Diceros bicornis minor: one gene and its partner. The protein of the gene in region 2 interacts with the protein of the main gene of each other region in a biochemical or structural test. Links are inferred from orthologs where the notes say so. Each region holds a gene or a part of one and is shown on either strand. Other genes may lie near its edges.

The links. The genes of interacting proteins can lie anywhere in the genome.
Region 1: the proteins of ESR1 (region 2) and CDKN1A form a complex in vitro, tested with the Homo sapiens proteins (2 studies listed by BioGRID). The link is inferred for Diceros bicornis minor from reciprocal best matches to the Homo sapiens genes ESR1 and CDKN1A.

What each region holds. Positions count from the first base shown.
Region 1 is NC_080753.1:28,264,974-28,272,387, forward strand, and holds the start of CDKN1A (cyclin-dependent kinase inhibitor 1), read right to left. Parts: upstream 3,027-7,414; 5' UTR 2,933-3,026; exon of another isoform or gene 2,867-2,932; intron 1-2,866. UniProt on the Homo sapiens protein: Plays an important role in controlling cell cycle progression and DNA damage-induced G2 arrest. Involved in p53/TP53 mediated inhibition of cellular proliferation in response to DNA damage.
Region 2 is NC_080778.1:16,963,433-16,970,929, reverse strand, and holds the start of ESR1 (estrogen receptor), read left to right. Parts: upstream 1-4,465; 5' UTR 4,466-4,524; coding exon 4,525-4,976; intron 4,977-7,497.

The DNA.
Region 1 (7,414 bases), on a different chromosome or scaffold from region 2:
CTGGGGCAGGAAGCCCTGGCCCCGTGCCACATCTACCCCTCCCCACTCCACCTCTCACACTGAGTGGAGCCCACCATCTCAGCTGACGGGGAGGGGAGGCACTAGGCGAACTTAGACCAACTTTAAAGGGCAGGAGTTCGAACAGATATGAGACTTGTCCCCACACCACACAGCTAAAAAGGCCGAGGGCCACTGCTCCATAGATGGGTTACACAGTACAGGGGGCAGTGCCCTAAAATAACCTTTGCCCACTCTCTTCAGGGCAAGGGTTGGTATTCTTTTATGTATTTTTATGTGCCAAGGGCTGTTCTAAGAAGTTTACAAATATTAATTTTCCCAAAAAGTGAGTATACTAGCTCTTTTTCACAGAAGAGGTAACCAAGGCTCAGAGAAGTTAAGTAACTTGCCCAAGGTCACACAGCTCACAAGTGGCACGGCCAGGATTTGAAGCCAGGCCTACTTGCCCTGGGCTCTGTGCTCTGGTGTTGAGCCCTACTTCCTCCCTAATTTTGAGGTTTCTTAACCAGAGAGGCCCAGCAGAACCACTTGGGAAGCTTTTTCAAAATATAGATTGATAGGCCCCTCCCTCCCTAGACCAACTTAACTCAAATAGGAGGAGACTTAAACAAGTGTTTGGCGGTTGCCCAGATGGGCACTCTTGGGGTGCCCGCCAAGAGAGGACACACAGGATGGCTGAAATGGACACTCTGGGTCTCAGTGCCCCATTGGTACCAGGAGAAGCCTGCTTGGGTCTTTATCCGGGAGCTGGATATTCCCTGGCTTCTAGGAGCTGAAGATGGAACCAGAGTCCAGGCAGGGGCCCTCTCTGCTGCCACCACCTCTTCCCTTATGGCTCTCATAGGCTCCCCATCAAAATCTGCTCTGCCGCCCATTATCATAACTCCCAGCTCAGCGGGCACTCTTAGTTTTACAAACACGTAACTGAGAATAGCTTCCTTTGTAGGTCTTTGTGCCTTAGACTTCAACCATATTTTAATCCCCAAGTAAATAGTGAGCACTCGGTAAACACTGTTGAACCAATGGGGTGCTCTTTTTAAGCGGCGTTGGGGGTGCGGGGATCAGCCCAGGGGCAGCGGCGGGAAGGAGAGGCGGGCGAAGCCGCGCTCCGCGGGAAGGCGCGTTTGCTACTCGCGCCGGGGCCGCGAGGGGGCGCTGGCCCCCAGGAAATCACGCGCAGGGTGGGAGGGGTGTGGGCCGAGCCCGGGACAGGGGCCGGGAGTCGTGATGAGTCAGTTTCCTGCAAGGCGCTCCCCGCCCGCCAAAACTGCACTTCCACTCCGGCTGCGCGTCACCCCGGGTGGGGAGGGGGAGAGCGGGAGGGGGCCAGGGGCCGCGAACACGTCACGCTGAGGCAGCCAGGCTTCCGAAACCCCCGCCACTGTTAGGAAACCGCGCGCTCTCGCGCCGTCTCTGTGACACGCACACACGCGCGCACACACACCGCACGCACTCCACCTTATCTCCACACCCAAAGCACGGGATGAGTCAGATCCCTGGAAAATAAAAATAGACCGGAGTAAGGAAAACAAAACCGCTCGAAAGGCCTCCCCGAAACGCGACGTGGAGGGAGGGACGGAGGGAGGGAGCCGCCCGGGCGCCCTAAAGCGCCAAACCCAGTTCCAAGATTCTTTTCCGCGCGAGGAGGGCGCAAGGGTCCCCCGAGGGCCCGGGACAGGGCGGACGCGCTGTGGTCCGCGCTGGGCAGCTGTGTCCCAAGGACCACTCGCCCCCCTGCTCCGCCCAGTCCAGTCTCCCTCGGAGAGGGAATTCTCCACTAGGTTGGGGGCGCCCGGGCCCCCGGATGCAGGCGACAGAGGCCCTGAGCAGCGTCGCGCCCCCTGAAGCCCCACCCCTCAAAGACGCGACCCCACCCCGGCGGGGGCTGCGCGGCCCGCAGCGCCGCAGAACACCGCTCCCGCCCCGAGCCCATCGGCGCGCCCCAAGGGCAGGCTGGGCCGGGGGCTCCAGGCGGCGGGAGCGAGGTGGGGAGGACTCCTGCGCCTCCCGAACTGACCCGCGTGCGCCAGCCCACTCAGCGCGGGGCCGCGGCTCCGGGTCCCCGAGAGTGCGCCGTGGGGCGGGGACCGGACACCCGGTCCTGGATCTCCCGGTGTCTGGGCTTCCCTGGGAACACTCTGTGCCAGCCAAATAGGTCACTGTGTTTATGGGGGGGACAAACCGAGGAGGGGTAGGGAAGGAGACTTCTGCGTCGCCACTGTCCCCCAGCCCGGGCGGGGTTCTGATCTCACTCGGCCCGTTCCCCGGGGTCTCCTTGTCACCGTGAGTCACCCTCTCGCTTGCCCTTAAGGGACGTGTCCTGACACGTTCCCATGGGCCAGGGACACAGCTCGCGCTGACCTCAGCGCCACCGGGTGGCGGACACGGCGGCGTCGAGGACCCAGACCTCAGGGGTTCGGGCCGGGGCGGCACCGATCAGATCCGAGAGCCGCCCGGGAGCGGATCCCAGAGGAACCTGCTCGGGTCGGCGCTCCCCGCCCCTCCCGGGCCCCTCGGCGGACAGGGGTGCATCCTTACGCCGCGAGCGAGCCGCGCGGGGGGCCCGGGGCGCACCCGCCGGGCGGAGAGCTCCTGGGGCGGCGGGTCCACACCTTCCCCCGCCCCAGCTGTGTTTCAAGGGGACGGCAGCGTGGCAGGGGACCTTCATACTGTGCTCCCTCCCCAACACATCCCGACCCCCGTCACACGCGCGCTTACAGACACCCGTGTGCGCAACGCCGAGACCCACGCGCAGACCCACTCACGTCATTCACTTGTGAACACAGCACACACCCCCGGATACACACGTCCCCGCGGACACAACACACGGACATGCAGGGATACACACACGGACACGCTCAGCTCAGCTCAAGCCGCCTCCTGGGTCCGCTCTTGCCCGCCGTGGCTCCCTCACCTCCTCCGAGGGTCTCGGGGTCTCCGTGAATCCGCGCCCGGCTCCGGGTCTCCGAGCTACCGACCGGGGCAGCTGCTCACACCTCCGCTGGCGCCGCCGGGCGCAGCCCATGTAAAAAGGCTCGGCCCTGGAGGCGGGACCGCTGGCTCCACCCCCAGCGCGCCTGGACCGCCTCCCGGGACCCGCGGCTGCTCCCCGGGCCTGGCCGCGCTCCAGCTCCGCGGAGCTCCGAGGCCGACGTCGCGTGCTGCCCGAGCGCGCTCCCTTCCCCGCACCCCCGGCCTGGGTTGTGCGCTTGACACATTTCCCCACGAATTGAGCCACAAATCTGGGTATTTTTAGCTGGGGAGAGAGTTGGCGCTCCCCAGAAGGGGATGGCGTTGTTAGGATGAGCCCCTTTCTGGCCCACTGCGGGCCGACTCTGGGCGAGGATTTACCGAAAGCAGCTGAAAAGACCAGGGGTGACGTTAATAAATGAAAGTCCTTAAATAATAAAAATGATGCGTCTCACTTTGCACTCCCCAGAAAAGCCCCACTCTACCAGCGCTGTTCCCGCGGATCCCTCACTACACCGCCTCTCCCCGAGCACCTGGGGCACCCAGACACCCCAACAGAGCCTCTGGGAGGCCAGAACGGAATTCAATCCCCTTTATTTCACAAACGAAGAAACTGAGGCCCACAGAACTAAAGGGATGCAAAGCTGTTGCTCATCAAATGCCTCGGGGAAGGAGGGAATTGGAGACACTTCCCAGAAAGGGCCCACGTCTCTCCAGGGGAAATCTGACATTGAACTAAGCTCCCCACCCCCTCCTGCTCCCCACACCCACCTCTCTCTCACCTCAACAGAAGAAACCTCTGTGACTGCAGCTGATTTGATGGCAGGAAGGGCAGAAGGATTTGGTGAGTTGTCTCCTGGATATTCCTCACACAGCCCACATTCACTGCTGGGTAAACTGAGGCTCAGAGAAGTTCATTGACCTGGCTCAGGTCACACAGCAAATAAATGGCTGTGGTTGGAACATAGGCCTTTTGCGTCTCACCCAGAGCTCTCTGCCTGTTGCCCCCTCTATTTCAGTGGCTCTAGAAACACGAGAATGGGGAGACACCAGCACCCCTCATTTCCAGGCAGCTTACTGAGGTGACATTGAGGAAGGACAGTTCTGGAAATGTCCACTGGCACTCTTGACCGATACAGAAGCAGGTGAGGTGCCCATCTGCTCCTTCCTACCTCCGCACCCCCCAGCCCTGCTTGCACCTCACCTTTGCCTCCTTCCTTCACCTAAAACATTTGCAGTTTCTGCTTTTAAAAAAATTGCAGAGAACAGAGTGTTAATCTGAACAGAATTCCCACTAAAAAATAGAATCCACGCTTGGAGCAGCTGCAGTTGCTGACACCTAGGGCTGTTCGGCGTCTGGAAATCTCTGCCCGGACATGCCCAGTTTTCTTCCTCTAATGCAGCTGACCTCAGGGAGGACAGGCCTCCTCCTTCACTGCTGGGATGGAGCCAGGGTAGGGGCGGGAGGGCGTGGCACCTGACCCTCTGGCCTGCCTGGTATTGGAGTCAGGCCAGGGTTGTAGCCGGACCTCAGGAGGGCCTCAAACAGGCCAGGACCCCAGGACCAGCCCCCTGCTCCCCAGCTCCTTTCTCCACACCCCCAACACACACACCCACACCACCCGAAGCCTAGGTTGTCAAATGTCCAGCAGGGGACAAGCATCTCCTCCTGCCTTAAATCCCCTTGGCTCTCAGGCATTTCAAATAGACTTGACATTGTCTGCCTGTTTACTCTGGGGAAAAAAATTTTTTAATGAAGGCTTGTATTGAATTACTTAAAGTTTTGTGGTCCTGAGCTTCACAATGAAATAATTCTTTTTGTTGTTGTTGTTGGGAAGTGAGGTTTTTTTTTTTTTTAATAACTTCTAGCTCAACACCACCACCACAACAGAATTCAACAAATATTTATTAGGCACCTACTAAGTGTCTAGTGCTTCAGTACTCAAAAGAAAGTGTCCAACCCTACACCTGAACGTGTAGCTAGGCATGCCCTTAAGGAGGACTTCCGCTCTGAAGAGAGCAAAGGAGAAGGTTGTTAGAAGTCACACTCCCCAAACACACACACACACACACACACACACACACACACACGTGTGCACAGAACAGGTCCCAGGCCAATCTCAAGGGATCTGCTGCAAACCACATATTCCGTTCAGAGAAATTCAGACCAAGCTCTCACAGGGGTCTCTGGGCGTCTTCTGTCTGCTACCACCCTCCTCTCCCCCCAAAGCAGGCAGCCCCAGGGACAAAACAGCCACTGGCCTCTTCTATGTCAGGGCTCAGCATGTTGAGACATGTTCTTGAGGGCCAGAGAGCCAGTCAGGACCACAGCCTGCTGCCCAGGCATGCTCCCCAGGCATGCTCCCCAGGAAGCAAGCAGCTTAGGGACGGAGCGAGGCTCAGCCTGGGGGCGAGAGGGTCCAGATCAGCCCCCACCCAGGAGGCAGGTGATGACGGAAAGGAAAGGTGGAAAGCTGGAGCCTGAAGAAGGAGGATGTGAGGAGGGCTCAGAGGTGTCTGCAGGAGTACCCAGGAAGGGAGAGGAAGTTCTGGGAACAATGTCACCATTTCTCAGAAAAGGCCCGGGGAGTCCCAAACGGGCAGCCAGCTTTCAGAGGAATTTACCTCCACACAGGCCTTCTAAGAAGTGAGACCCCAGAAAAGAGGGAGAACAGAGATATTATTATACTACTGAGCAGAAGAAGCCTTGCTTACTTCTTTTTTTTTTTTTTTTGAGGAAGAAGGAGATTGGGAACCCCCACCCTGACCTTCTGGAGGCTTTACCCAGCCAGTACAAAGATCAGGACTGACCACAGAGTTAGGCAGAGAAATTTGTAACAGAATTTGTGCCACATAAACACTTCTAGCCTCCCTAAGCTAGAAATTTCACCTTGCCTAAGCCTGAAATTTCACCGTTAGAAATTCATTCCTTTGGCATGAATTCTTGCTTCATCAGATAAGATCATGTAGGCAAAGTGCTTAGCATAGTGCCTGGCACATAGAAATCACTCCATGAATACTAGTTATTATTATTGCTCTACAAATGTCCCTGGGGAAGGCATCCCTTGGAATTGAGTAATCATTTATACTTTGGGGTATCTTAGGTAGGTTTCCCAGAAAACACACTCTGCAGTAGAGACTTGCTTGAAGGAGGTTTCTTGGGACTGCATTTGCAATCAGCATCTGTGGGACCATAAAGGAAACAGGATTGGGCAGAGAGAGGAGTTGGGCCGAGATGGAGGCTGGAGGCCCCAGAGAGGCCTCTGTTGAGCCCACAGGGAGCTCTTGAGCTAGGAGTTCCCTGAATGGAAGCAAGGGGGTTGGGCTTTTGTACCCCTGCTTCAACCAGTCTTTTGGATGTGGCTGTCCCTGGAGCAGAGGGGTGCATGAACTTGGGCAAGAGAGCTCCTTTATCTGAGGCTGATTCCTAAAGAAGGGCTCAGCTGAAGCATCAGTGCCAACACTCGCAACAGCCAGTGGGGAGAACGAGTGCCTGGCTCCTGCAGAGGCTTCTGGGTGGCACAGCACAGAGTGAATGAGTTGATCAGATCATTTAGGGACTAGAAGGTGGTGAGGAAATGCTGTGAACACAGGCCACCTGAGGAGTGAAGGGCTCTCTGTACCTTTGCACATATTGTTCACTCTTCTTGGAATCAGTGTTTCTTACCAACCTACCTCATCTCTACTCCTTTCTTCACGTGTTGAACTCCTATTGATCCTTCATGACCCAACCTACGTGACCCCTTGTGGGGAGGCCTTCTCAGGGCTCCCTCTGGCTCCCAGAGCTCCTGGTGAGTAATCCACTCACTGTGCTTCGCTGGCCTGCTGGGTTTACATGCCTGTGGCATCCTCTGAGCTGGGAACTGGTGGGGATAAGCCATATTTTATTCATCTTTGTACCTTCAAGGCCTAGCAGCCTCAGCCGGAGTTCAATCAATATTTATGGAAGGGCCATTTTTGACTTGCACTCTGAGGTTAGGCTTTAGTGCCGCTGCATCTGAGCCCTCTCTCTTATTTATTCATTTGTCTGTTCACTCATTCATGCATTAAAATATATATATATATATATATATATGTATATAATTAACATTCACTGCTCAACCCAAAAACTGGAACATTACAAATCACCGACACCTTCCGGTGAGTTCCTCTACTATCCTGATCCCTTCCTCCCCCACCCCGAAGTAGACAGTATCTTGAATTTTATGTTGGACTTTCCTTTGTTTTCAGTAGTTTTGTCACATGTGACCAAGACAGGAATGCTCACCCGTTTTTCTCTGTGCCCTCCTACATTTCCCAGCACCCTCTGCAGTTTAGACAGGGTCGTGTGACTAGTTCTAGCCAATGAAATATGAACATAAGTGACATTGGTCTCTTTAGGGCTGAGGCCAAGTGAATTCTCCAGCATTTCTGTCCTCCGCGGCTG
Region 2 (7,497 bases):
AATCTTTTAGCAAAAACAGTTTTATAAATGGTAGAACATTACATGGAAAGTTAGCTTTTCGAGATGGTTATCAAAAAGGATGTAACATTATCTTATCCTTTTAAGAATCCTGATTAATAAATTAGCAAATATTTGATGACCTAATATGAGCAGACACAGTGCTAGGCACTCAGAGAATTCCCAAATAACTCTATGTAGACCCTGTCCTCAAGGAGCTTCTGAGTGGGATGAGGGCATAAAATATATATAAATAACTCTAATTCAGGGAAGAATGTAATAAATGCATGAGAAATACCACTGGAGTTCAGAGAAGAGGAAATTCCCTTTGAATAAAGAATAAAGGAACGCATAATGGATGTGGTGGTGTTTGGGCTGGACCTTAAAAAAGGGTATGCTTTTCCCTGACATACACTAGACAGGATAGTCATGGGAAGAGAGGAAGGCCTGACTCCTGAGGAAGCTACCATCTGGGTCAATGGTGGAACCGAGAAGATGTATCCCGAAGGAATAAAAACCAAGAAAACAAAAGGCAGCAGAATCTGGGAAGAAGTGGGAGGAGGGAAGAAGCAGAGGTCCCTAGGAGGCTCTTACAACAGGTAAGGGAATGATGGGCTGAAGGAGGGTGATAGAAGTGGAAGGAAAAGGGAGAGATTGCATAGCTCGAATGCTGCAGAATATGGAAGGCAAGAGAAAGACAGCCCTCAAAGTCCTCTGGCAAACAAGCACTAGAAGAAAATTGGCAAGGTGCAGTATCCTTTCCCACCCCCATCACCAAGCCTGGAGGACGAATCTTACCAAGGAGGGGAAAGAGAATGCTGGAGAGAAAGTGTTTAAGAAAACTGCCCTTGTTGGACATCTTGGACTAACTTTCATCGTTAGCCTCATAATAATCAAAGTCTATGAAGAGATAGCTAGACATCGTATCCTTCCTACGTTCAAGGAGAATAGTTGCAGATTCCCCTTCCTTTCTCTTTCTCCCTTTCTTTCTTCTTCCTTCTTTATTTCTCTCCTTTTCCCATTCCTTCTCTTCCCTTCTCTCTCCTCCCTTCCTTGCACATTCTTGTTTTATTTTGGACTGGTCTACTGCATGGGTGGCCACCGCTGACGCAAAGGAGGAGTCAGGATTCACCATCGTCACCTACATACAAAGGGTAACTGGCTTACTTTTCAGTGTTTGACTTTATCGCTGATTGTAGAGAGGGTTCTTCTGTGCTCCAATATAGCAATATTTCAGGCCTTTCAAAGTACAAAATAAATTTTGGCATTATGACATCATTAACATTTTGTAATTTTTTTTTTCAAATAACTTTTTACTTCTTTCTTTACTTCAGAGTGGTCTGAAGAGCCACTCATAAATCTCTCGGTAACTGCATAGGGTCTCATGGCCAGAGACTGGCCACTCCTGGCATTGTGATTAGGGTCATTTAATACCCAAGGGAGTGACTAATGTTTGGCAGCAAAGGGTCCACTAGGTGTCACATGTCCTGAAACCCTAGGCGAGGGCACACTAGGAACACCTTATTATCGTGTGTTAGCATCATGGTCAAGAGAAAAGTTGAAGACCAGATGGATCCATGTGGGCATCATTGGGAAATGAGAGCCCCATCCCCATGATCAACGCTGGCACAACCAGAGAGCCTAAAATCAGTTTAAAACAAAGGCACCCACCTTTGTCTTATCTTCGTACCCCAGGCTTTTAATAACATATTTTTTCATATGTTTACAGAAAACAGTCAACTGAGCTATTCGTGGAAAGGTTTGTGGGTTTGGTTGATGAGGTGGAGGAATATTACATTTCAGCTGGAAACACATCCCTAGAATGCCAAAACATTTATTCCAAAGTCTGGTTTCCTGGTGCAATCGGAGGCATGGCAATAGTGTGTCTGTTCGGAGACCGGGAGCTTGGGCCAGCAAGGCATCTGATCCAAGCGTATCCCAGAAGGCCTTTATTGTTAAATTATATTCTTCAGGAGAAACCACCCATGTCACATTTTGTAAACTTGATAGCCATATACTTTTGACTGGCATTCTATTTTAGCCGTAAGCCTATGATTTACAGCAAGCCTGTTCTCCCTGTTGCTCAGGATGGCAGTGGAAAGCATGGGGCACTTTCAGGCTCCCAGGATAAGGAGCAAAGGATGCTGGAGTTTGCTTCTCCCCAATAATGCTGACTCTAGCTGTGCCACACTGCTCCCCATGAGCAGACAGCAAGCTTCTCCTCACTCTCCACTGCCATTCATCCAGCTCTGTGCAGCAGCCCAGCTGCTGTGTCTGCCGGGAGGGGCTGCCAAGTGCCCTGCCTACTGGCTGCTTCCCGAATCCCTGCCATTCCACACACAAACACATCCACACACGCTCTGCCTCGCTCACACACGGAGCCACCCGCACATGTGAGCACATTCCTTCCTCCCTTCTCACTGTCAAGCCCTTGACTTCTCCAAGCCCATGGAACATTTCTGGAAAGACGCTCTTGATCCAGCAGGGTAGGATTGTTTTGATTTCTCTCTTCGTAGCTTGAGCATTTTGAGAAAGCAACTTACCTTTCTGGCCAGTGTCTGTATCCTAGCAGGGAGATGAGGATTTGCTGTTTTCCATGGGTTTATGTGTGCGTCTCCTTTTTCTTTCAAGACTTGTAGGATTCTTTGTGCAATTTCTATATAATTTGGCAGGTTCAGATTTTTAAGAGCCCTATGAAGTGCTTTTGCATGTGTTTAAAAAAGACATCTGAAAATTGGAAGTGTAATTTACGAAAACGAAATCATCTGTAAAAAAATTGCTTTGGAAAGTAATGGTTGCTGGCCATAAAGAGAAATATCTGTGATTCACCTAATGTGTTTTTAACCCTTTCTTTGCTTACAATGGATAGTTATTGATGCTAAGCTCAATTTTAGCTTCATAATAAATCAGCTACATCTGCATATTGTCCCCCAATAGTCTGTCTGTTCTTGTAAGAATTAGGTAAAATGTGTACTTATTAGTATTAAAATATCCAAAAATATTGCCATTAGTAACAGCAACCTTGGCATCCTTATATGCCATGAAGATTTGTCAGGTACTCTGTTGGGTGTTTCGGATAGCAATTACAGCAAAGTATTAACGGTTGTATCTGATGGTCATATCAGAGTCTATTAGGCTGGGGCAAAGGAAGTTTATTAAAAAGTATAAACTATCCAAGAATATGGGTGCACAGTATATTTACCTTATGTTTTTGTTTATATATGTGTGTGTGTGTATGCTTACCTTTTAATTCAGTTCAAAACTTTTTTCTATTCCTTTTTATCTGGATATTTGATTCTGCATATCCTAGCCAAAGTGAACCGAGAAGGTCCAGTTGTAGAATTAAAGAACAGAAATGTACCATTGCATTTTAAAATTTCTTGGTTCGACCAACAGTGTAACATAATTGCCAAGAATTTGGTTAATGACCTGAGGTTACGCCTTATATGAAAAGGTCACATTTCATATTCAGTTTTCTGAAGTTTTGGTTGCATAACCTGTGGAAGGCACGAACCCCGTGTGCTCCTAACCAAAGGTTTTTGTGAATCATCATTCACATGAGAATTCCTAATGGGAGGAAGTACAGTGCTGTGGTCCAACACAAACATACAAGTCCGACTGGGAGAATCTCAGAAGGTCCTGGCTAGAATGGACCACTTTGGAAGAATTTTGCGGATAAGGAAACTGAGGTCCGTCAGCATTCTCCAGATTGCAAAATGCAGCTCTTCCTATATGTACACCTTAAATCTCCACCCGCTTCTCCCTAGATGCCTTCTGTCAGTCCCTGCAGCTGCTAAATATAGCTGTCTGTGGCTGGCTGCATATGCAACCGTACACCCTATTCTATCTGCCATATCTCAGTTACAGAGTGGTCCTCCCCAGGGTCATTCTATGTACACACTACATATTTCCAGCCAACAAGGAGAGTGAATCAAACAGAGAGAGAGACAAACAGAGATAGATTGGAGTCTGGCACGGGGCACATAAGGCAGCACGTTAGAGAAAGCCGGCCCCTGAATTAGTCTTCCGAGTATGTTTTAAACCCCATCTTCCCTGGGCCACCTTTAGGAGATTGCTCGGCGCCCCCGCCCTCCTGCACTGAAGTTCAGCCTCCATCCAGCAGCGACAAGTAAAGTAAAGTTCAGGGAAGCTGCTCTTTGGGATCGCTCCAAAACAAGTTGCGCCCGGAGTGATGTTTAAGCCAATGTCAGGGCAAGGCAACAGCCGCTGGCCGCCTTCCAGCACCTTTGCGATGCATATGAGCTCGGGAGACCGGTACTTAAAGTTGGAGACCCGAGCCCGGGAGTTGGCGGAGCGCGCTCGCGCGGGGCTGCACTTGCTCGCGTCCGGCCGCGGGCTCCACGGGACGGGCCGGCTCCCGGGGCAGGGCCAGAGCCGGTGTCGCGGCGGGACATGCGCTGCGCCGCCTCTAACCGCGGGCTGTGCTCTTCTTCCAGGTGGCCGGCCGGCTGCTGAGCCCTCCGCCGCGCGGGGAGACGGTATGCGCCTTGCCCGCGGCCACTGGCCATGACCATGACCCTCCACACCAAAGCATCCGGAATGGCCCTGCTCCACCAGATCCAAGGGAACGAGCTGGAGGCCCTGAACCGCCCGCAGCTCAAGATCCCCCTGGAGCGGCCCCTGGGCGAGGTGTACGTGGAGAGCAGCAAGCCCCCCGTGTACGACTACCCCGAGAGCGCCGCGTATGACTTCAACGCCGCGGCCGCCGCCTCCGCGTCCGTCTACGGCCAGTCCGGCCTCGCCTACGGCCCGGGGTCCGAGGCGGCGGCGTTCGGCGCCAACGGCCTGGGGGGCTTCCCGCCGCTCAACAGCGTGTCTCCGAGCCCGCTGATGCTGCTGCACCCGCCGCCGCAGCTCTCGCCCTACCTGCACCCCCAAGGCCAGCAGGTGCCCTATTACCTGGAGGACGAGCCGAGCGGCTATGCCCTGCGCGAGGCCGGCGCTCCGGCGTTCTACAGGTACCCGCGCCCCCCGCCGCGCCACGTCGGGGTGGCCGCCGCGCGCCCGGCGGGCGGGAGGGAGCGGGGAGCGGGGCCCGCGCCGCCCCAGCTCGCCGGAGGCCGCAGGCCGCGGGGCCCCGGGCGCAGGAGCCGCGGGACGCGCCACCCCAGTGCCCGCGCGCGGCCGGCCCGGGAGCGATTTGCGGATCTCGCCTTCCGAGCGTCAAGTTCTCTCCCCGGGCGGCTTAAAAAGATTCTCTTCTTCACCCGCTGCCGTCTGCGTGACAGGCAGATCCGAAACCCTGTGCGCTTCCTGACTAAGCAGATGTTGGAAAGCCGTACAGAGCAGCAGTTATTTGCGGGGGAAACACCCCAAAGCAAATAAACACGGGGCTCTCTGAGTCCCTCGTAAATGTCCAGCTGTGGTATTTCGGGCTAGAGGTGTTTGGGGTTCGCGGACGTCAGAGTTTCATTTGTTGTTAGTATTTTAAAATTTTCTTTTAATGTGCTTGCAAAATTACCTTTCATCTAGAATTTCGGATTGGAAACATGCCCACTATGGTGGTGATGATGATGATGATGATTTTTGGGGGAAGAGATTTGTAGCACCTGCTTTCCCTCCTCCCATCGCACGCTCCAGGGCTTTAGGACTGAACTGCGCTCCTCAGGAGAGCAATACAGGGGTTGAATGGGTCTTAACAAGTTTCTGATTTCCCAGTTATCTGGCTGGGTCCGTGTTGAAGCAAATTGCTGGCATATGACTTCTGACAGCCGGGAATTTATAGGTGTCCTGTGAGTTTAAAACATGCCATATCGAAACACGAAGGTTTTGGAATACTCTCCTGCCAGCTAAGTTCCCTTTCTGGCCTACCGGGCAGAGAATGCCCCTGGTGCGGGTGCCGGGTCAGCTCGGTTCTTCACCTTTCAGTCGCTCTGGAAGAAGCGTTGGCAGTCCAGGACACAGGGGACACTTCTGTGACTTCCCTGTGACTTGTGTCCTTATTTTTTTTTTTTCTAGTAGACGTTATATTTTCCTCCTCCTTGCTCCTCTCCTTTCTCCCTTTTCTTGTTGATGGACCTGGGAAGGGTGTGTATTTCTGAATACCTGTGCCCTAGGCGCCCGCTGGACCAGATACCCTGAAGTGTGTTTGGGAGGCTCCAGGGCGCACACGTGGCTGGGCGCTGAGTTAGGCACTGCCTGACGGTACATTGGTGTCTGGACTTGCCTCCTGCCCTCGCCCAGATCCTTCTGCATTGCCAGCTGTGGACCGTTTTCTGTTTAGTATTCTATTTCCAGGGATATTTATAGCAGAAGAAACAGGAGGAAGGTGCAGATTGGCCTCAGAGAATACTGAAGGGCAGACTCTTGGGGTATCTGAACATACTTATATCCCTCAGCCTCCTCAAAGGACTTAAAAGCATCCCACAGCTAAGCAGGTCCAGCCTGAGTTATTATTTAAAAGACAAGCGATGAACAAAACTTTAAAAAGTTGGCATATTTCAAATTAATTTCACTTGTTTTAATTCAGGGTTAAAATGGAAAGAGAAAAAGAATTTATTCTGCCCCTCCCTTTAAAAAGTGTTAGAACAAAATATAACGATTAAGTCTAATTCACACAACATTTTAAACTCCTTGATGTGAAGAAAGGCACTGGTGTGAGATGAATTCCATAACCTTATGGTGGACTCCGGAAACTATTTTCTTTTCCATTTAATTTTCAGTTCTTTTATTGCAAATTAATGCCACTGAAATTCAATGGGCACTAATGAGACTGCTCCTTGGTAGATTATTTACTGCCTTGCTAATAATTACGAAGTGAACACGGTCAAATGAAGAGGGGATCACATTTTATTCAAAATTGTTCATCATCCCATAGCAGATAATATAACTATAATATGCCCCATCTTAAACTTTTTGCATTTGATGATATTCAAATACTTCTAGAATAATAAAAGAAATGACACAGAACTTTTAAAAATAAAGTAAAAAACTCACGCAAATGGGATTCTGTGTGGAAATTCAGTTTTAGAATGATTTTTCCTTTGTAGTTTACTTCCCGTAGCATCCTTCCTTTTTTGTTTGAATTCTGCCTCTTATTACCCAGGGAGGAAGTGAAGGGTCTATGCAAGTGTGGTTTCAAATGGTCATATGTTATTTAATATTTTTTCCCTGTCACTTTTCCTGTTTGAATAACTCTGGGTAAAAAAGAAAAGAATTGATTAGACTGTTTAAAGAACATTTAACTTTCTTCAGTAGTTATAAAAAGTTTTAGGGGCCGAAAGCAGTGTTTTCAAACTGCTTGTCATGACCTAGAGTATCATGAAAATGAGTTTAATGAGTCTAGAACTTTGTGTTGTTAAGGAAGAAAATAGAAAAGAATATAAGAGAATATACTAGAGGGCATAATATTTAGTAAGGGTGGGTTTTGTTTCCTGAAAATTTGTTTTAATTATACATACTTGTGTGTGCTGACTGTGATATAAAATATATTTCATACTGTGGGTTGAGGTCAAAGAAATTTGTAAGCTACTAGCCTAA